Linked DNA regions of Pelodiscus sinensis. The protein of the gene in region 1 interacts with the protein of each later gene in a pairwise test. Links are inferred from orthologs where the notes say so. Each region holds a gene or a part of one and is shown on either strand. Other genes may lie near its edges. The genes, in order: RUFY1 and RAB39B.

Region 1 (9,963 bases):
TAATTTTTTTTAACATGGACTGTAAGCCTGTTTGTTCTCCCTAATCATGTTCTCCAAAATGTATTTACCATTTTAGTTTAAGTTCCTCCAAAATGTGTCAGCCTGAGGAGAGACCAGCCATGGGAAATTTCAACCCAAATGGTTAAAGTTTGGCAAAATTGTAAGCAACTGAAAACAGTCTTATAATGGGAAGTACTGGTCAACCTTAACTATAGGCAGTGCTATCATATTTATCATATCTGCCCCCTTGTAATATTTACAGCAGTGGTGAGCAACCTGCAGCCTGTGGGCAGCATGCTGCTGACTGGGGTTCCATCTATGGCCCGCGCACCCACTGTCTGCTCCCTCCCTCACCCGCACACCTATCGCACACTGGGGCACTGGAGTCCCGGACTTTCTACTCCTCCACCTCTCTCCGAGCACTTTCAGAGCACCATGAATATGCTGATTTGCACTGCATCCCTGCTTCTCCCCTTCCCTCCCAGAGCTTGAACCACATAGAGTCCCGGACCACAGAGGTTCAGCCTGTACAGTAAATTAATTATTGTGCTTTCTATTTATTTTCATGTTTTAAATATCATCAGGATTGCATCAAACAGCTAACTGTTTGCTTCACATCATGACAATGGAATTCAAGTCAAGTAAATAATTTGTTGCAGCTACAAAATATGTGGTTTACTAATCAAAACTAATAGTTATCAACATTCATAATTTACATAATTTAGGATATAGAATAAGAAAAGGAAACTAAAATTAGATTAAAAGAAGTGTTAATTACTGAAGAATGTCACAAAAGCAAGGAATTTAAGGCCGGAAGGGACCACCAAATCATCCTGTCTAATCTGTATATCACAGGCCACCAACACTGAAAGTTAGCGCTAAGTATTACAGCCCACTAGAGACTAAACTATTATATGTCACCACAGGCAAATAATTTGAAGGTCTGAGGTGTACCAATGCCCAAGGCATCAGCAAAGACAGGGAGCTGACATATATCCCGATGATCCTGGCAAGTAGTCAACACTCCACATAGCAGATGGAGGCTTCCCAAAGGTGACTTCTCAAAGAAGTAAATCAGGTTAGTTATGGCACTATCTATCTTTGGTAAAACCATGTTGCATAACATGTTTGTCTCTATACATTTAATTATTCTTTCACAATTTGTTCTAAAACTTTACATACTACTGAGATCAGACGAACTGGTCTATAATTACCTGGATCACTTTCCCCTCCTACCTCTTCCTTACATATGCATATGGCTTTCGCTATTTTCCAGTCATTTGGTACTATCCCTGGATAGACAGAATTGTTAAAAATCCTGGTTATCAGATTAGCAATCTCCCATGCCAATTTTTCAGTACTCTGGATTCAGCTATATATTTTTCTTCAACTTCAGATGTAGCAGTATTTCTGTACACTATCCATATCCCCTTCCAACCCTGGAGTTCTACAACAGACCTTAACACTATCACCACAGATCTTCTTTCATGATCAGATTCAGTTTTGTCCACACTATTACTTTGTATTTTTGAGGGGTTTACTAGATCTTTGATGTACAAAGCTACCTCCACCAATTTTACCTTTATTTGTGACTCTCCTAAAGAGCACATCTTCTTCAGGACTTTTATTCCAGTCATAACTGCTATTTCACAATGTGTCTGTAAGTCCCTAAAATGTCTAATTTGACCTGAACCAGTAGTTCCAGTTCCTCCATTTTATTGGCAAGACTTACTGAATTTAAGGATCTGAGTTTCTCCGAGACCTCACCCAGTTTTCCATCTGGGAATGCAGTGCTATTTAAAAACGTCACACATCTTTATATATTACCAAAGTAATCATGGTTACTTGCTCCTCAAATGGCAAATCTGTAAAGATTTGAAATTTCTGTGGCAGAATTTGTGTGCAAATCTGTGAAGATCTGAAATGTGTGGCAGGAGTTGTATAGCTGCTAAGCTTTAATACTCTGGAGACATCCCATTAATTTCATTACATTGCTCTGTAAGGGTGGCATATACAATTTTAATAACTACACACAGAACCCCATTTAAGCCTGGTCTACACTATAGCATAAGATTGAAATAGGATACCCAACTTTAGCTACATTAATTATTTAGCTGAAGTTGACATCTTAAATTGAGTTTCTGCACAGTGGAAGGCCAATGGGCAGTGGGGTGGATCCTCCAGTGGCCTAATGGGTAAAGTGCTGGTCTCCAGTGTCTGGGGTTGGGAACTTGATTCACACCTCTCACTCGCCCAGGGAACAGAGAGGCAGCAACATGGAGGGAAGGGGGGCACGCCATAGCCGATATATGTGGGGAGCCAGCTTTTAAGCAGCTGGCAGGCAGGAGCCAGCGCTGGGGGAGTGCTACCTCAAAAGGCAGCTCTCCCCAGCACCAGCTCCATTGTGCCATCTCATGGGGCAGGGGCAGGGGAGACTGCAAAGCAACCTCTGTCCACAGCAAGCCTGGGCTTGCAAGCTTGATCACAGAGGCCTGCAGCAGCAGCCCCTGTCTGCAGGGAGCTCAAACCCCATGAACAGGGGCTACTGCCACCTCATGCTGTTACCAATGTATCAGAGGCAGCAGCGCAGGGCAGCAGGCAGCCGGCCTGTGCAGTGAGGGGCTGGTTTTTAAACTGTCTTCCCTTGTGGACTGGCTCCTGCCTGCCATCTTCTGCTGATATAGAAGCAGCAGCATGGGGTGACAGAGGGCTCACTGGCTGCTGGCCCTGCCCTTGGGGACAATTGAATAGTTGTGTAATCACTAAGATTTCATGCAGTTACACGATTATTCAATTACGCAATACATTCCTATTTTTCCGTTTACTGTGCAATTGAGAGCACTATCAGTATTCATGTTCACTGTACCCCACCCTCTAGTTGGTTCTCTCTGTGTACACTAAAACGGAAGGGAAGTTACATAAAAAAGCTAAATATGAATGTTTGTCTTTTAGGTAGGACTTGAACTGTGTTAGATCAGCCTGCCAGGGGACAGAGCTTTCAGTAAGTACAATAGACTATGACACTTCAGGGTCACCTCAGAATCTGATACCTCAATATAGAAATCCTAGATAGAGAGGTGAGCCCTCTTAGAGAATGTAGATAGAGACTTCATGTCCTGCCTTTATCCCCTATGCCTGGGACTATTTTGTCTCTTTTAAATTAATGTTGCATTTAATCTGCAATGTTGGAAGATTTCCAGTTCTTCTGATTTTGTCTGGTAATTTTTGGAAGATTGACAAGAAACACTAGCTAATAGATGCAGCAGTAAACACTACAGAGAAAGTGACATCCTGACCCTACTGAAATCACTGGCAAAACTCCCTTAGACTTCAGTGGAGCAAAGATTATACAGGCAGTCCCCGAGTTACGCGGATCCGACTTATGTCGGATCCGCAGTTACGAACAGGGATTTTCTCGCTCCGGAGGACTGGAGCGGCGGGACGCCTGGTCCCGCCGCCTGCCTCCTCCGGGGCGAGAAAAGCTGCTCCCCGTCTCCCTGGTCTGCTGGGGGAACCAGCAGACCAGGGAGACGGGGAGCAAAGCGGCGGAGGACCCGGGCCGGACCCACGGCGCTGATCTGGAAGCGCCGCGGGTCCGGCCCGGGTCCTCCGCCACTTTGCTCAGCGTCTCCCTGGTCTGTAGACCAGAGAGACGCTGAGCAAAGCCACGGAGGACCTGGGCCGGACCGCGGCGCTGATCTGGAAGCGCCGCGGTCCGGCCCGGGTCCTCCGCCGCTTTGCTCCGCGTCTCCCTGGTCTGCTGGAGGGGGGGGGGACGCAGCTAGTGCCCCTCCCCAGCAGACCAGGGAGACGTGGAGCAAAGCCCGGGGCCTGTGGTAGAGCAGGTGGGGCGCTGCCGGTTGATCCCGCAGCACCGCTCCTTGGCGCTACTGGACCAACCCGGCAGCATCCCAGCTGCTCTGCCCCAGGCGTCCCCAAGTCAGCCGCTGCTGAAACTGACCAGCGGCTGACTACAGGAAGCCCGAGGCAGAGTTGCTCTGCCCCGGGCTTCCTGGAATCAGCTGCTGATCAGTTTCAGCAGCAGCTGACTTGAGGACGCCTGGGGTTCTTAAGTTGAATCTGTATGTAAGTCGGAACTGGTGTCCAGATTCAGCTGCTCTTGAAACTGATCAGTTTCAGCAGCGGCTGAATCTGGATGCCAGTTCCGACTTACATACAGATTCAACTTAAGAACAAACCTACAGTCCCTATCTTGTATGTAACCTGGGGACTGCCTGTACTTATTAAGCAGATTTAAGTTCTGCAAGGACATCCATAAATGTTTGCTAATAAACTATTCAGTTTTTATTAATATTTTTCTAAAATATACATAATTTTAATATATTATTATTAGATTTTTACATCTCTTATTTTATAATTGCTTCATGATGTTTCAATACTGTGTGAATGAGGGAGACAGATTAATGTGATTCGAAAGCAATATATATAGTTTCCTTGTTCTAGTCAGCCCAGCTGTAAGTAAAGAAAGAGACCATACTAGACACTGTTGCGGTCATGCTACATGTAAGCTGAACTTTTCTGGGTAAGTTAGAAAGAAAAATGTATAAAATAAAAAGCCATCCTCCCAAAAATATCAAAAGGTTATGTTTTCCCTGAGCATGTAAAAGTTCGCTGAGATTTGTTCTCTGGGTTCAAAAGTACTTTGCATAAATCATTACAGTATCCACAGGGGATAGGTTTTTTTAAATAAATGCAAAGTAATAATGCATCTCTGACACTTGCAGATTATAACTAACTTATTTGTACACAGTACAAGGAAGTTTACTGAATAAACATAATCATACTTGTTTTTGTTGTGTTGTCATTGCTGACTGGTTTGGGTACGAGTCCTATCAAAGCTGCAGACTTCAGAGCGTTGCCATAGCTCACTGCTAAGTTTTCTGAAGCTTTCTTGGCCAGTGAAAAGATGGGAGCAGACCATCCCGATTCTTCAACAGCTTTTTCTTTCACCTCGTTTTTCAACTCAGTTACATTAGGAATCAGGTTTCTGTCAATTATTTCAAAATCTTCTTTCTGTTTCACAGCAGATGCATTGCAACTCTCTCCTTCAGCCATCTTTAAAATGTCATATGACACTAGTCATGAGCAATCGAGTTAAGCAGAAACTCCCTGCTCTGTAGGTGATAGGAGTTGTTTCATGACAAAAGTGCTGTGCGTGGTTACACAACAACCAGTCGCATGAGCAAAAGTGTCAGATACTAAACATCCTGATTGTGATATGCTCCAAATTATAGCCACAGCTAGTATATTTTCTGGTTACTGATTATCACAACAAATGATACTCTGTTAGATATTGTATAGTGAATGTCCTTTTATATTATTACAATTCTTATTTGTAGCTTTCTGAAAAACCCAATGCAGCCTCTGTACTTCTACACAATATTTTAAGTTAGCATTTTCCCAGAGTATATGAAGTCACAGATTTTGCAGCATTTAAAAAACACATTGAGTCTTTTGAGACTGGATTGTCTTTTCTAAAACGGGACCATCATAACCTAGAAAAGAGTATTGAAAGAAATTACTATATATTATGAAGAGTTTGTTTGTGGATTTGTTTGTGCAAAATAAAGTCATATCCCGATTACCTACAGATACCAAAATTTACATAAACAATCCTGCCACTGAAATGATCTGAATGCACTACTTTTTACACTGGAATATGATGGGTGAAAGGTTTAAATCAGTGTTATTCAAATGGCAAACCGCACCAATGGGGGTACGTCTGCACTGCAACACTATTTTGAAATAAATGGTGCTATTCTGAAATATCTTAGTCCGCGTCTACTCAGCAGGCAGTTATTTCAATAGTGTCAAAATACTGTCAAGCTTGAGGACTTTTTACTCTGACTCCTGTAACCCTCATTGTATGAGGAATAAGGGAAGTCATTAGAAAAGTACTCAAGTTAAGCCTTGCAGTGTAGACATACTCTGGGAGCCGTGAGGCTCTGTAGCTGTGGAGCTAATAAATACACAAACTGGAGCAGCCTGGTATCAGCTTTCTCAGAGTGGGTTCACAGACCACTTTGAGAAACACTGGTTTAAATAGTAATTTTTGGTTTTCATTGGAAAAAAGTCATGACTATTATTATTAGAGTCTATAAAAAATATTTGCTAACAAAATTAAAATCGAGTCGCCTATTCAACTGTCATTTTAGTGCAAAGAAAATTTTTATTGTTACAAATCACAACATAATTCAGATTAGTTATGGAAAGAGTAATGGAAGCTGTATAAGTTTCTGATTCAAATTTACTATGTGTAGTGATTATTCAAGAAAATGAATAATGTTTGAAGTTGAAATCCTACAAATTCAAAACTATTATGTTACTTCCCTTTTGTAAGTACATTAATAAAAAAATCTATTACATATATTTAATTTCTTGAACTTCCTGTAAGTGTAATCTACGCAAAAACGCACCTGGTCAATGTTGGGCCTCACCTTAAGTTTCTTATATATTTTTGAAAGTGAAGTATGCTTCCCTGCAGCATCTACACTACAAAAATAGCCATATTTAAGCAGAGTTGGGAAACATGGCTGCAGCTTAGCCACGATACAACTAGAGATATTAAAAAGTAGGTAATCAGGTACCGTATATTATACTGCTGATACAGAGGCAGCAGTGCGGGGCAGCAGCTGGTGAACGCTGGAAGGTGGCTTAAAAGCATGTACCAGCTCCCAGCTTCCATCCCACTCCCAGAGAGCTGGTTGCTACCCTGCACTGAAGGCTCTAATATAGAGCCAGCTGTGCAGGGTGGCAGCTGGCTTCCTGGGAGCCAAAACTTTATTGGTTAACCGAGTAAACAGTTATCCTATTACATCCCTAGTTACAACATGTCTGTGTGGACAGAAAGGACATATTATAATGATTTTGAGGCAATCAACAAACCTGATCCTGATTAGAAAAATGTGACCTCGCAAATTATCTATTTAGACTAAAACACAGTGCCTTAATATGTCCGTAACATGCAGTTTTCTGTCCAGCAGCAACTATATAACACAGCTGGACTACAGCTTGTTTAAACTTGTCTTAATTATGGTTGATTTCCCTCCCCTGATTCTATACGGTTATTTTTGTTGGATAGTCCTAGGAAATATTTTGTTTGGTGGAAGCTAAAGGACAGGGACAGGTAGGTAATTGGGGACCTCTTGTTACCAACAAACTTGGTAACAAAAGAAATACATCTTTAGGCTAGAACAAGTCCCTTATCTTTTGTTTATTTATTTATTTTTGTTTCTACTTTAAAGTTTTTTATTTGATGCAAAAGAGAGGTGCCAAGCTATAAGGAGAGTTATAGAAGTTTCATTGGGGTGTGTTTACACAGCAGGGCTTATCTCGAAATAAGCTACGCAAATTGAGCTTATTTTGAAATAGCAAAACTTTGTAGCTTATTTTGAAATAGCTTATTTCAAAATTGGGAGCATCTACATAGCACTTATTTTGAAATACAGCACTCTTCCTTTGACTTCCCTTACTCCTCAGACAATGAGGGTTACAGGAGTTAGAATAAGAAGTCCTCCATCTATTTTGACATTATTTCAAAATAACTGCCTGCTGTGTAGATGTGGACCAAGCTATTTCGAAATAAAGCCAGTTATTTCGAACTAGTGTTGCTGTGTAGATGTATCCTTAGTAAGCACAGCATATTTAATAGATAATGGTTAGACAAGACTGATAACAGTGGGGGGAAAGGAAAGAAGCTAGTCATCATGTCCTGTTGTGAAGTAGAGAGTCTTTTTGATCTGGTTAACTTTTGTAAATTAGAAAGATTGGGGCCAGACTGAGGCCCTTTTGTCCCAGGGAAATCTGCTAGAGGGATCTGAGGGAAGGAGTCTGACCATTTCTGTTCTGACCATTACTGATACTATTGAGGCATGCTGGTGAGTGGATGGCCTGTGGTATTGGTGAAACAATGTAACTTCTCCTTCCAGGGCCCATCCTCTGCACCAGTTTTTCTCAACCAGTGGTATGAGTACCCTCAGGGATACTCAAGAGAAGTCTGGGAGGTACATCAACACAACTGAAATTTAGAGAAAACTGAATTTTTGTTTTAAGTTTTACAGTGCTTTATTATTTTTGTACTTTTTACACCCAAAAACTTCATTGCCCGCCCAGCTACGATTAAGTTGTTTAAACAAATGTGTTGCAATGGTAGAAAAAAAATATGTGGGTCTGAAAACTGTAGGTACTGGGGGTACTTATAACTTTTTTTAAGGGAGTACTTATGAATTTTTTTTTGAAAAAGGAGTACTTTATAAAAAAAGGGTTGAGAAATACTGCTCTGCACAATGCTTCTGAGAATGGTGAGTGTGGTGCCAGGGTGGTGGATGAACCAACCCTCTCATAAAGGGAAGGAGAGAGATGTGTATATGTAGATGTATGGAACGCAGTCTGGTCCCAAATATGTGTCTTCCTAACATTTTTTATATAAACTACTGTTCTGCTCTCAGGTACTGTAAAAATGTAAAATTCCACAATTAACTTATTTTCCACAAAACAAATCGCAACTCCTAAGTGTCTGTGAAGGATAAGAGAACCTCTGAACTGAAGTCTGAAGTCCATTATTCACCCAGGATTTATTCAGACTATAGGCTCACTGTTCAGCAGCAGGGTTACAACCATATGTTTTGCACTCCATCTAGTGGGATGAAATGGTATTTGGCACAGTGTCCATGTGTTTGTTTTTTATGGAAAGTAGGACAAAGGACATTTGTTTTGCAATAGTTGTATAAGCCCTAGTCCTGCAATTGACAGTATGGTCAGGGCCTCATAGATTTCATTTTGGGCTCCCCATTAGGTGCAGAGGTCATGTTCTGAGTCAGTTAACAGGAGCAGAACCCCATAGGACTAAGGAAGTCAAACAAGTGTGATATTTCCAAAGACCTTTGATTATATGTCCTCTCAACTGAACTATATGTAAATAAAACTAAATAGATTTCTACTTTCAATAAAGTGGAAGCAGAACAGGGAGGTGGAGGGGAAATAGAAGGCAGAGATTCCTTCCCTTCCTCCTCATTTGCTGTTTCCAACAACTAATGTGTCTGGCAGACACAGATTAATATTACAGTACATACATTCAGTAGCAAAAATATTAACTGGAAGTAAGACACAAACAACAAAAGAATATATGTCCCCTTAAAATAAGAGAAAATGAAAAACTCAAAAAGAAACATGAAAGAGTACAGTGAGATAATAGCAGAACATTTTATTTCAATCTTCCATCATTTGAGCTCAGAAAAGAGCTATTTTACCATGTCCAAGACTACTAACATTCATCCTGCATAGTTTTATATTTTTAAAGTAATGAATAGAACCCAGTTATCTGTATAGCAAAAGTGAATTTAAAGTTAATAAGTCAACTATGGAAATAGCATTAAACAATTCCCCGTTTTTTGGAGGCCAGAGTCCTTTTGGGGCATGTCTACACAGCAGGGCTAAAGCTAAAATTGCGTAGCTTAAGTCAAAATAGCTTATTTCGGCTTTTGATGCTGTCTATGCATCAGGAAGTCAGAGCAAGAGCACTCTTCCTCCAACTTCCCTTACTCCTCATAAAATGAAGGTTACAGGAGTCAGAAAAAGAAGTTCTCCAGCTCAACATTATTTTGATATTATGTTGAAATAACTGCTTGTAGTGTAGATATGGATTATGTTATTTTGGAATAATGTCAGTTATTCTAAAATAACACTGCTGTGTAGACGTAACCGTAATGATATAAGCAACCTGAAATGCTAGGAGTGTTCTAGTTAAGTTCAAATTCCCGTGGAAATTTGAAAGCAACTCAGCATGTTTTAGTGTGGTCAGGCTTTAGCAGAATTGCTGGTATATCACATACTCAGAATAAATTACTATTTGTTTCATATAGCAGGTTGTTACAGTTTATTTTGTTTCAAACCTTTGTTTAATAGCAGGGGCATTAAACCTGGGCTGTGCTTCCGCTGAAAGTT
Region 2 (10,195 bases), on another chromosome or scaffold:
CTGTTTTAAAGAAGAGACCTGTAGAGGAGCAAAAAAAGGACTTCTGTCTGTTTAATTCTTGATGCCATACAAAGATGACCTGGAACAGGGAGTTCAGTGGGTTGTTTTTAATATTGATTTTTTTTTCTGGTGCGTTTTATATTAGAAATTCAGGTCTTTGTCTCTTTGTCCTCCTGACAAGACTCTGGGGACAGGAGAACACTTTTTCTTCATCCTCGTAATAACACAGCCTGATTCTTAATCAGGGAAATGATAACAGCACCCAAGCCTGAAAGATGAGCAAAGGGAAGGGAAAGTGATTTTTGTCCGACTGTTTAAAATGCTTCCTTTTGGTTTCGTATTGCTTAATGCCAATGACTAAGAACACTTTTGGAAACAGGGCATCTTGCTTAAACTGAACCCTTCCCCCCCCCACACACACACCTACCCTACTCTTTCAAGAAAGGTAAGAGGGCTTCCCTTCCATATGATCTGTGACCCTATGAGAGGTCAGCTGGCCAAACCAGGGGTAAGCAGCCACAATATTTTTAGACTTTAAAGCAAGGAAAAAATATCGTAGTTGAAAAACCTTTCAAGCCATCTTTATGCAGCACAAAACATGAGGGGAGATGAGGAGTGGTGGGGAGTGCTAGCTTAAACTCATTCTTTAAAAAAGTCCTTAACGGGTAACCTTTAAATTCCAAGCTCTAACGATAGAGCCGGTAGCAAATGAACACTGGTAACTGCCCTCTCCCAATGGTATAAATCTGGTGTTTCTAGCCCTGAATGGATGCAAAATAATCAGACCTCACATATGTCACCAGCTAAGGTCTGAGTATTGTCCATCCTGGGTCACAGCCACAGTCATACGAGGGAGAGATTCAGCTACTGAAACATTCTGGATCAGACTAATAAAAAAATGGCAGCTTTTTGAAGCTGCTCCAAGGTTTGGAATGATGGAAGTGGCCACTTGGGAGATGGCTGAGTGAGCAGAGCGTGGGTGAAAGAGGTATGATAAATACAATCATCACATGGCTGCAATTTACCAGATGGTGCTGCAGTGAATCCCCTGGATAGCCCCCGCCCCCATATACTCCTTTTCTTTGCTAATGAAGTCAAGTTTGCTACCAATTAGCCTCTTAAATGACTAGTCCCCATTCAGTATTCACTGCTGCAGGCTGACACACACACACTACAGCAGTACCTGTATGTAGGAAGACAGCATTTCGTCACAGTCAGTCTAAATCCTTTATCTCCAACCCACAGTCAATAGACTTGAGTGAAAGCTGCTACACTTTTGACAATCAAGTTTCCATATTTAGATGCCTCATTTATGATCCTAGGAACCTAATTTTAGGCAGCCCAGTTTGAACACTTGGCTGCTATTTCTTTTCACCAGTCTGTTACATGCTCTTCCTTCATGTTCCTGCATACCCTACATTTTTTTATGTGACTAGCAAATTGCAGTGAATTTGTCTTGGCTTTCTCCACTTGGTGAACATTTATTTCTGCTCCCACATGCAGAGTTCAGTTTTGATTTATTTTCATTTGGGCCAGTGGGAGGCAAACAAGCCTTGTTATGTTTCAAAATCTTTCATTCATCCTCCGCTGCAGAGACAGGCTGTGTGTTTCTGTATAACTTGGGCAACCGTTAATACATGCTCAGAATGTGGATTTTGCCTACTACATCTTTGTGGGCTTAGCAGAAAGTTAAAGACAAAATCTTTATGCCATTGATTTCAACAGGACTTAGACATGAACAAAGCAAGCCAAATTGGCTCTAAAATGGAACTACATCTCAGTCTCCATGTTGCAATTTATAATTTTGGCTTGCTCAGAAGCACGGATCTTTAAAAATCCAGTCTGAGGATTGTAGGGATGGTACTACATCTTGCTACGCAAAAGCCTGTTTAGAAATTCCCTCTTACATAAAAGAGCATCAGTGGAGAAATAATTCATAATGACCTGGAGTGATCATATTTCAATGCACAAGCCCAAGCCAGCAGCATTAACTGTGCATTTCTTGGCTTCCAAGTGCCTGATTTCACAACCTTATTAACAATGATGATTTGTCTAATCAGAATTGTCCTGACTCTTTAGACTTCATTCACTCCCCCTCTGAGGCTTGAATGTATTGTTCTGCTGCATCAAAAGCCACAGCAGGCTCACTGAATGGAACCCTGCCTAGTTCTTTGTACAAAAGGCAAAGGCATCACAGAAAAAGGGAGAAAGGCGGCTAGCTAATTTCATCCAGTCTAGGCTGGCCAGCATCCCTCCCAAGGGCGGAAAGACAGATTCTCTCCACCTAGCACATTTTAAAAGCCAGCTCCCATCTCCGGCCAAGCTAAGGGCCAGGTGTCAGAGGGTTGCAGTGTATTAGGGCCTGTTCTGGGGCAGGCCTGCTGAGAGCCCCTGTCAGGTTAGCTTTGCTCTAGCAAGGGTTTGGCTTGTTTCCTTCCCTGGGCCAGGGCGGATGCTTGCCCAAGGCCGCCTAGGATTACAAGGGATGAGGGTCAAAACGGCCGCCTGGCTAGTCTGGTTCAGCCAAAATAACCAGGAGTCCTGGGGCACCTTAAAGACTGACACATTTATGGTTCCCTGGCCTGGAGCCCACTCCACAGATGCAAGGAGAGAGGGAGAACGGGCTGCGGGCGCTGCTACTAGAGGGCGCTGCCTGCACAGGGGCTTTGCTCCCAGACTAGGCGCCCCCCTCACCTCGCCCTCCTCCAGCAGCAGGTCTGTGAACTCGAAAGAGCCCGGGCGAGCTCGCTTCCCGGAGCAAGCGGAGCTACAGCCGTAAAGCCGCCCCTGCCCCGGCTCTCACCTGAATCGCTCCTGCCCGGCCGTGTCCCAAATCTGCAGCTTGATCCGTTTCCCCGGCTCAATCTCCACCAGCCGGGAGAAGAAATCCACGCCCACCGTGGGGTCCGAGACCTGGGCGAAGCGCCCCTCGGTGAAGCGGCGGATCAGGCAGGATTTGCCCACGGTGGAGTCCCCGATGACGATCAGGCGGAACTGATAGAGCCAGATCGCTTCCATGCTGCCCCCTGCGCCCGGCTCTGGCCTCGCTGGAGGGGGCTGGGTTAGCCCGGGCCTCGCCGGCTTGGCTCGCAGCCTGCCCGGGCACAGCGCTAGCGAGAGGCCAGCTGCGCGCCGCCCATGCCGAGCCGGGAGCGGGTGTCGGGGAGGCTCCCGCGGCCAGCAGGTGCCCCGCGGTGCGGCTCACAGTCCTGCAGCCAGACGTGCAGGCCCCCGGCAGAGGGCGCTGTGGGGACACTGCCCACCCGCGGGCGCCGGGCTCGCCGCAGCCGCTAGGGCTCTTCAGGCGACAAGTGCCAGCCCCACAAGGGCAGGTCTGCGTGGCCGCTGGCTGGCGGAGGAGCCTTCAGGGCGCCTGGCATCTACCTTCGCCTCCCGGGTCATGTCCTCTGGCTCCAGGGAAAGCTTCGCGGGGGTCTCGCTGCCCCCGCTTCTGCCCCACAGCCGCAAGCTGCCTCTGCCGGCAATGCAAAGGTCAGATGGGCTCCATGTGGCCCCGCACCAGCCCAGATTTCTCTCCGCGCCCGCTGGTTGTTTTGCGTTGTGATCAGGATGCGACGGGCGTTTTTTGGCCACTGATCCGTATTTCCTTTTGCAATGGCGGGGGAAGGCTTTTGTCTGTCATGGGAACGAGCTTAGCGATGGCCGGCTGTTTACAAAAGCAGGCGCGGGGTTGGCTGGCAGGGCCGGCTCCCCTTCGAGGGCTCCAGCCTTTTTCACGTTGTGTCAGTACAAAGATCTAGAGCTAAAACTCCGCCGCCTACGTCCAGGTCAGCAACGAAGGGTTCCAAGAAAGCGCTCTGATCCGCCCCCCTCACCAAAACAGAACCCACCTCGCGAAGATCTAAGCCTCCAGGCTCAGGGGATCCGATTTTGACTGAAAACAACAGCAACAACCCAATGCTAGAAGGCTTCCTAGGTTCCGTTATTCTGTCTCCAAGCAGAGAGGGGTTAGTCCTCAAGGGCACCTGGCTAGCTCTGGAGAAGAGGTTTCCTTTCCCTGCAGACAGAAGTGCTGCCCTTCCTGCAGCATGGACTTTAGTCGCAGAGATGCCCAGGGTTGTAAAGATGGAGAGCTGGTGAATAAGGGATGCTGGGGATCACAGAGCTGATGAAATGGCAGCAACATCAGCACCAAACACTCTGACTCATCATTGGCATCAGCAGCTACTGTAATCCGCAGGATAGGAGAGCAACTTCCTTCTGCCTTACTCTACCATATTGATTAGAAAAGAAGCTACCGGCCAAAAAATTAACACAACAAAGCGCCATAGTTTAGCTGAAGACAAAGGAAATTAGCAAACATATCAACTTGGTAAAATGGGATGGCACATTGTGCAAGGCTCAACCATCTAGAAATGCCAGCAGTGAACACCTAATATTATCATGATTTATTATTTCTATTTTGGGAATACCCATAATGTGATAGGTGCTGTCTTTATATGTAGAAGACAGTCCCTAGCCCCAAAAGAGCTCACCATCTAGATAATGATGCTTTTAACTAGATGGATAATGGAACACATTGTACTTGAAACAAAATAGCTACACTGGTATATCGTTGCAAATATTCACCCTTAAAACAAGCAGCCAATGAAAAACATATGAACAACTGGTTATTTAAGTGTCACAAAACTTAGCCAACTAATTGATTAAATTTAACCCCTTCTATTTTTAGCAATATTTTGAATGAGTATTCCCGTCTTCTACACCGTGCTGAGCAGAGTGAAGCAATAAACAATGATGTTTTGAGCACCATCAGACTGCTTAGTGCTGTGGAAACAAAGCCACAGAAACAAGTGTCTTACATTGTATATGTCATTTCATGCAGAAGAAGCAAACACCATATTATACGTTTAGAAGCAGATTCACCCATCACTTGCAATGCAGCCTTTTCAGGGGTGGTACATGGCAGCTTTTTAACACCACATAGGTGCATCATGCACCAAAACCATGTAGGACAGGACGATTTGATTATAAAATCAGCATAAAGACTGTCTTTAGTGTCCAGTGTTTGTACAGCACCTAGTACAGCAGCACACTGAGCATGACTGAACCCTGTAAAATGGAAAAAAGTATCCTGAAAATGACAAAAATGTTGCTAGAACTTGGTTAATAGCAAATCACGAAAAATTAAAATTTGGAAAGTGTGGACAATTGGTGAATAGTTTTGATGAAGAAAAAGGGGCATTTTTGCCTTTTTTCCCTCCAAAATTCTCTAACCTGATACGAAGTGATACCTTGAGAACAACTGTATTCAGGTGACATTGTAAGGGCATGTATTTAGGCAGCAAAAGTGAATTTCTTAAGTTGGAATTTTTCCAGGATACTTATTTGTGCTTATTTCTGTGAAAAACGTGAAGGTATTTTAATGTACTTTAAAATATAATTTATTAATTTAAAATATTTAACCAGGAAGTTCTTGTTTCAATAATATCTTGGGAATAGGGAAAAAGGATGGTTCAAGTAGCTACAGAAATGGGGCAACAGAGTGATATTAAAACCATTAATCAAAGTTAGCTTTACATTAATAGTAATATTGTATGCATATCAACTGTATTCCATCCAACACCTTCAAAGCATTTTGCAAACATGAATTAAGCCTCACAACAGGTCTTGCAGTTTATTATTACTGTTTTTATACATACACCCCCATGCATATTTTTCATTTGGTTTTTGCAGAAGGATGGTGACTCTAGTGCTGTAGCCTACAATTATTATTAGTCATTATTTTAGAGCACTTCAGCATGAAATAGCCACTTTAAAGCATTCCTAAAAGATAAAGACCTTGCCTGGGTCCTTACAGGATTCCTAGCACACAGCAGCTGAAGGACATGGCAAACAAAAGAGAAGGGGCAAATTAGGGCAAGGGTTACAATAATAAAACCATTGGGTTACTCAGCTCCAGAGTTGCTAGCGAGGTACCTGTAGTAACCTACTTCCTGTAAAAAAGAAATGTATCTAGAGGGTTATGAAGAAGGAGGAAGTGGCATCACGGAAAGTGACTGGAAAGATGCTCCACTAATGGGTTCCCACATCCAGAAAGCGGAACAGGTGTGAGAGTGGGTGAAGCTAACAAAGAGTCCCCAGAACCGGTATGATGTGCAGATGACTGCAAAAGGGCTAGGTGTGTGAGCCAGGGCTGAGCACGTAGTCTGACCACTGAGCTGCATTGAGTCTTTAACATGGTGGGAGAGAATCCTAAGGCATTCCCTGAGCCTAACCCTAACCCTAACCCTAACCCTCCCACAACCCAGATGAACATTTCTCATTGCAGCAAAATAAATCCCCCAACCTCCCAGGAATGTCACCTCATTAAGCGCTCTCGTCCTGCGAGTGTCCACCCATGATGCACCGCTCTCAACTACCCACGTTCCAGAGAGCCAAACCACTGACAAAGGAGCTCAGCTTTTCCTGCAGCCATGACACCTGGTCAGCTATGGGTGTTGTAAGTTGTGCGGTGGAACTGTACTGGTTTAGGCTGGAAAATTTAACAGCCCAGTGGCTGAATGTGTTTACATGGAAGATACTTATGCTGAAAATGAAACAGGCCCATTCTGAGGCTACATCTAGACTGGCATGATTTTCCGGAAATGCTTTTAACAGAAAAGTTTTCCGTTAAAAGCATTTTTGGAATAGAATATCTAGATTGGCATGGACGCTTTTCCGCAAAAGCACTTTTTGCGGAAAAGCATCCGTGGCCAATCTAGACGTGCTTTTCTGCAAAAAAGCCCCAATTGCCATTTTTTGATCAGGGCTTTTTGCGGAAAACAAATCTCAGCTGTCTACACTGGCACTTTTGTGCAGAAGTTTTGTGCAAAAGGGACTTTTGCCCAAATGGGAGCAGCATAGTATTTCCGCAAGAAGCACTGATTTCTTACAGTAGGAAGTCAGTGCTTTTGCAGAAATTCAAGCGGCCAGTGTAGACAGCTGGCAAGTTTTTCCGGAAAAGCGGCTGATTTTCCGGAAAAACTGGCCAGTCTAGAGACAGCCTGAATGTTTCTAGCTGTTATTGTGCAGCATTGGAGCCATGTTGGGCCCAGGCTATTAGATAAGGTAGATGAGGCAATGGCATTTTATTGGACCAACTTCCATTGATGAAAGCCATAGGCTTTTATAACAATGACAGATGGAATCGAACCTAGGACTTGTGGAGCTTAGTGCATGAGCCTGTACCACACCAGCTAAAAGCCTGCTGGCTCTTAGCTAAGGCTGTAGAGCAGACTCATTCTTCTCTCTTAAAGTGGTCTTGGTACTACTAAGGTGGGACAGTGCACCACACCCAGCAGGGTTACATTTCACACATCAGAGAGCTCTTCTTCAGGGCTGAAGAAGAGGAAGAGCTTTGTGTCTGCTCAAAACCCTGTTTCACATCAGACGTTGGTCCAATAGCTATTTACCTCGCCCGCCTTAGAATCATAGGATCATAGAGCTGGAAGAGACCTCAGAAGGTCATCAAGTCCAGCCCCCTGCCCAAGGCAGGACCAATCCCAACTAAATCAACCCAGCCAGGGTTTTCTTAAGCTGAGCCTTAAAAACTTCTGTGGATGGAGATTCCACCACCTCCTTAGGTAACCCATTCCAGTGCTTCACCACCCTCCTAGGCTATGTCTAGACTGCAAGCCTCTTTCGAAAGAGAGCATCTAGACTGCACGCGGAACTTTCGAAAGAGGAAGCCGCTTTTTCGAAAGAAAGCACCCAGTGAGTCTGGATGCTCTCTTTCGAAGAAGCCCTATTTACATTCAAGAACGCCTTCTTTCGAAAGAAGCACTTTTGAAAGAAGGCGTTCTTCCTCGTGAAATGAGGTTTACCGCTGTCGAAAGAAAAGCTGCGTTCTTTCGATTTAATTTAGAAAGAACGCGGCTGCAGTCTAGACGCAGGTGAAGTTTTTTCGGAAAAAGGCTACTTTTCCCGAAAAAAACCCTGAGTCTGGACACAGCCCTAGTGAAATAGTTTTTCCTAATATCCAACCTAGACCTCTCCCACTGTAACTTGAGACCATTGCTCCTTGTTCTGCCATCCGTCACTACTGTGAACAGCCTCTCTCCATCCTCTTTGGAACCTCCCTTCAGGAAGTTGAAGGCTGCTATCAAATCCCCCCTCACTCCTCTCTTTTGCAGACTAAACAAACCCAAATCCCTCAGTCTGTCCTCATAGGTCATGCGCTCCAGACCCCTAATCATTTGGTCACCCTCCACTGGACCCTCTCCAATGCGTCCACATCCTTTCTATAGTGGGGAGCCCAGAACTGGACACGATATTCCAGATGTGGTCTCACCAGAGCCGAATAAAGGGGAATAATCACTTCTCTGGATCTGCTGGCAATGCTCCTCCTAATGCACCCTAACATGCCATTAGCCTTGGTTACAAGGGCACACTGTTGACTCATATCCAGCTTCTCATCCACTGTAATCCCCAGGTCCTTTTCTGCAGAACTGCTACTTAGCCATTTGGTCCCCAGCCTGTAACTATGCTTGGGATTCTTCCATCCCAAGTGCAGGACTCTACACTTGTCTTTGTTGAATCTCATCAGATTTCTTTTGGCCCAATCCTCTAATCTGTCCAGGTCACTCTGGACCCTCTCCCTGCCATCAGGCGTCTCTACCTCTCTCCCTAGTTTAGCGTCATCTGCAAAGTTGCTGAGGGTGCAATCCATCCCCTCATTCAGGTCATTAATAAAAGATGTTGAACAAAACCAGTCCAAGAACAGATCCTTGGGGCACTCTGCTAGAAACCGACTGCCAGCCTGATATCGAGCCATTAATCACTACCCATTGGGCCCGACAGTTGAGCCAGCTTTCTATCCATCTTACAGTCCATGTATCCAATCCATATTCCCTTAACTTGCTGGCAAGAATATTGCAGGAGACCGTATCAAAAGCTTTGCTAAAGTCAAGGTATATCACATCCACTGACTTTCCCATGTCCACAGAGCCAGTTACCTCATCACAGAAGCTAATCAGATTGGTCAGGCATGACTTGCCCTTCGTGAGTCCGTGTTGACTATTCCTGATGACTTTTCCCTCTTCCAAGTTCTTGAGACAACAATTGTGAGCTTAGTGCCACCTTTCTCAGGGAAAGGTGAATTCTCTGTTTTAGGACCATGACACATACTTTATTGAGTCCAGCAAGCTTGCCCTCACACCGTTCAATAGATAACTTGCTTTGCCTTCTCCAGAAACTGTTAAGCAGCAAGTTGGCTCAAGCAGTGTTAATCTTCCTGTTACAAGTGCTATCCTATTTTCTCAAATGAAGCTGTTTTTCTTAGTGAGGCAGAGTAAGAGCTCCCTTAAACTTTGCTTAGCTTCTATGACCACGTCCACATGTGCATACCTTTGTCACAGGTCCTACACTTGATAAGTAACTCCCTTAATTATATATATATGTATACAAATATATATATATATATATATATATATATATATATATATATATATACTCCCTGCCTCTGTCATTTCCACTTCAATGCATCTGATGAATGCATATAAAATCATGAGTGGTGTGGAGAGGGTGAATAAAGAAAAGTTCTTCATTAGTTCCCATAATAAAAGGACTAGAGGACACCAAATGAAATTAACGAGTAGCAGGTTTAAAACTAATAAGTGAAAGTTCTTCTTCACACAACCTGTGGAACTCCTTGCCAAAGGAGGCTGTGAAGGCTAGAATTATAACAGAGTTTAAAGAGAAGCTAGATAAATTCATGGAGGTTAGATTCAAGAACAAATCACTTGATCATTGTCTTCGGTACACCCCCTCCTGGGCACTTGGTGCTAGTCACTGTTGGCAGACAGGCTACTGGGCTAGATGGACCTTTGGTCTGACCCTGTATGGCCATTCTTATGTTCTTATGAAAGCTTCTGCCCTAATAAATCTATTCATCTCTAAGGTGCCACAGGACCCTCGTTTTGTCAGTTCCATTGTATTCAACCTGTCTACTCCAAAGGGCCAAACTAAAGAGGTGTTTATAGCTGTGACCCCCATACTCTATCATACAACATCAAACAGCGAGAACGAGAGGGTGACATGACCCACTCCACTCCAAAAAAACCTGTTTGTGACATCATAGTCCCCAGCTTGTGAATCCATGAACTGCTATCACTTTATTATGCTGCTGAGACACTCTAACGTCTGTCTTTAATGCTCTTTGTTTAATAACATATAATATTGGGAGTGGTTTGAA

What was found.
Region 2: the proteins of RUFY1 (region 1) and RAB39B interact in binary tests that used the Homo sapiens proteins (3 or more experiments, as listed by UniProt). The two-hybrid records come from large-scale screens. The link is inferred for Pelodiscus sinensis from reciprocal best matches to the Homo sapiens genes RUFY1 and RAB39B.

Annotation. Positions count from the first base shown.
Region 1 is NC_134727.1:34,042,433-34,052,395, reverse strand, and holds the start of RUFY1 (RUN and FYVE domain-containing protein 1), read right to left. Parts: upstream 5,105-9,963; 5' UTR 5,077-5,104; coding exon 4,806-5,076; intron 3,002-4,805; exon of another isoform or gene 2,953-3,001; intron 1,079-2,952; exon of another isoform or gene 927-1,078; intron 1-926. UniProt on the Homo sapiens protein: Activating adapter involved in cargo sorting from early/recycling endosomes. Regulates retrieval of proteins from endosomes to the trans-Golgi network through interaction with the dynein-dynactin complex.
Region 2 is NC_134723.1:29,301,445-29,311,639, reverse strand, and holds the start of RAB39B (ras-related protein Rab-39B), read right to left. Parts: upstream 4,171-10,195; 5' UTR 3,019-4,170; coding exon 2,804-3,018; intron 1-2,803. UniProt on the Homo sapiens protein: The small GTPases Rab are key regulators of intracellular membrane trafficking, from the formation of transport vesicles to their fusion with membranes.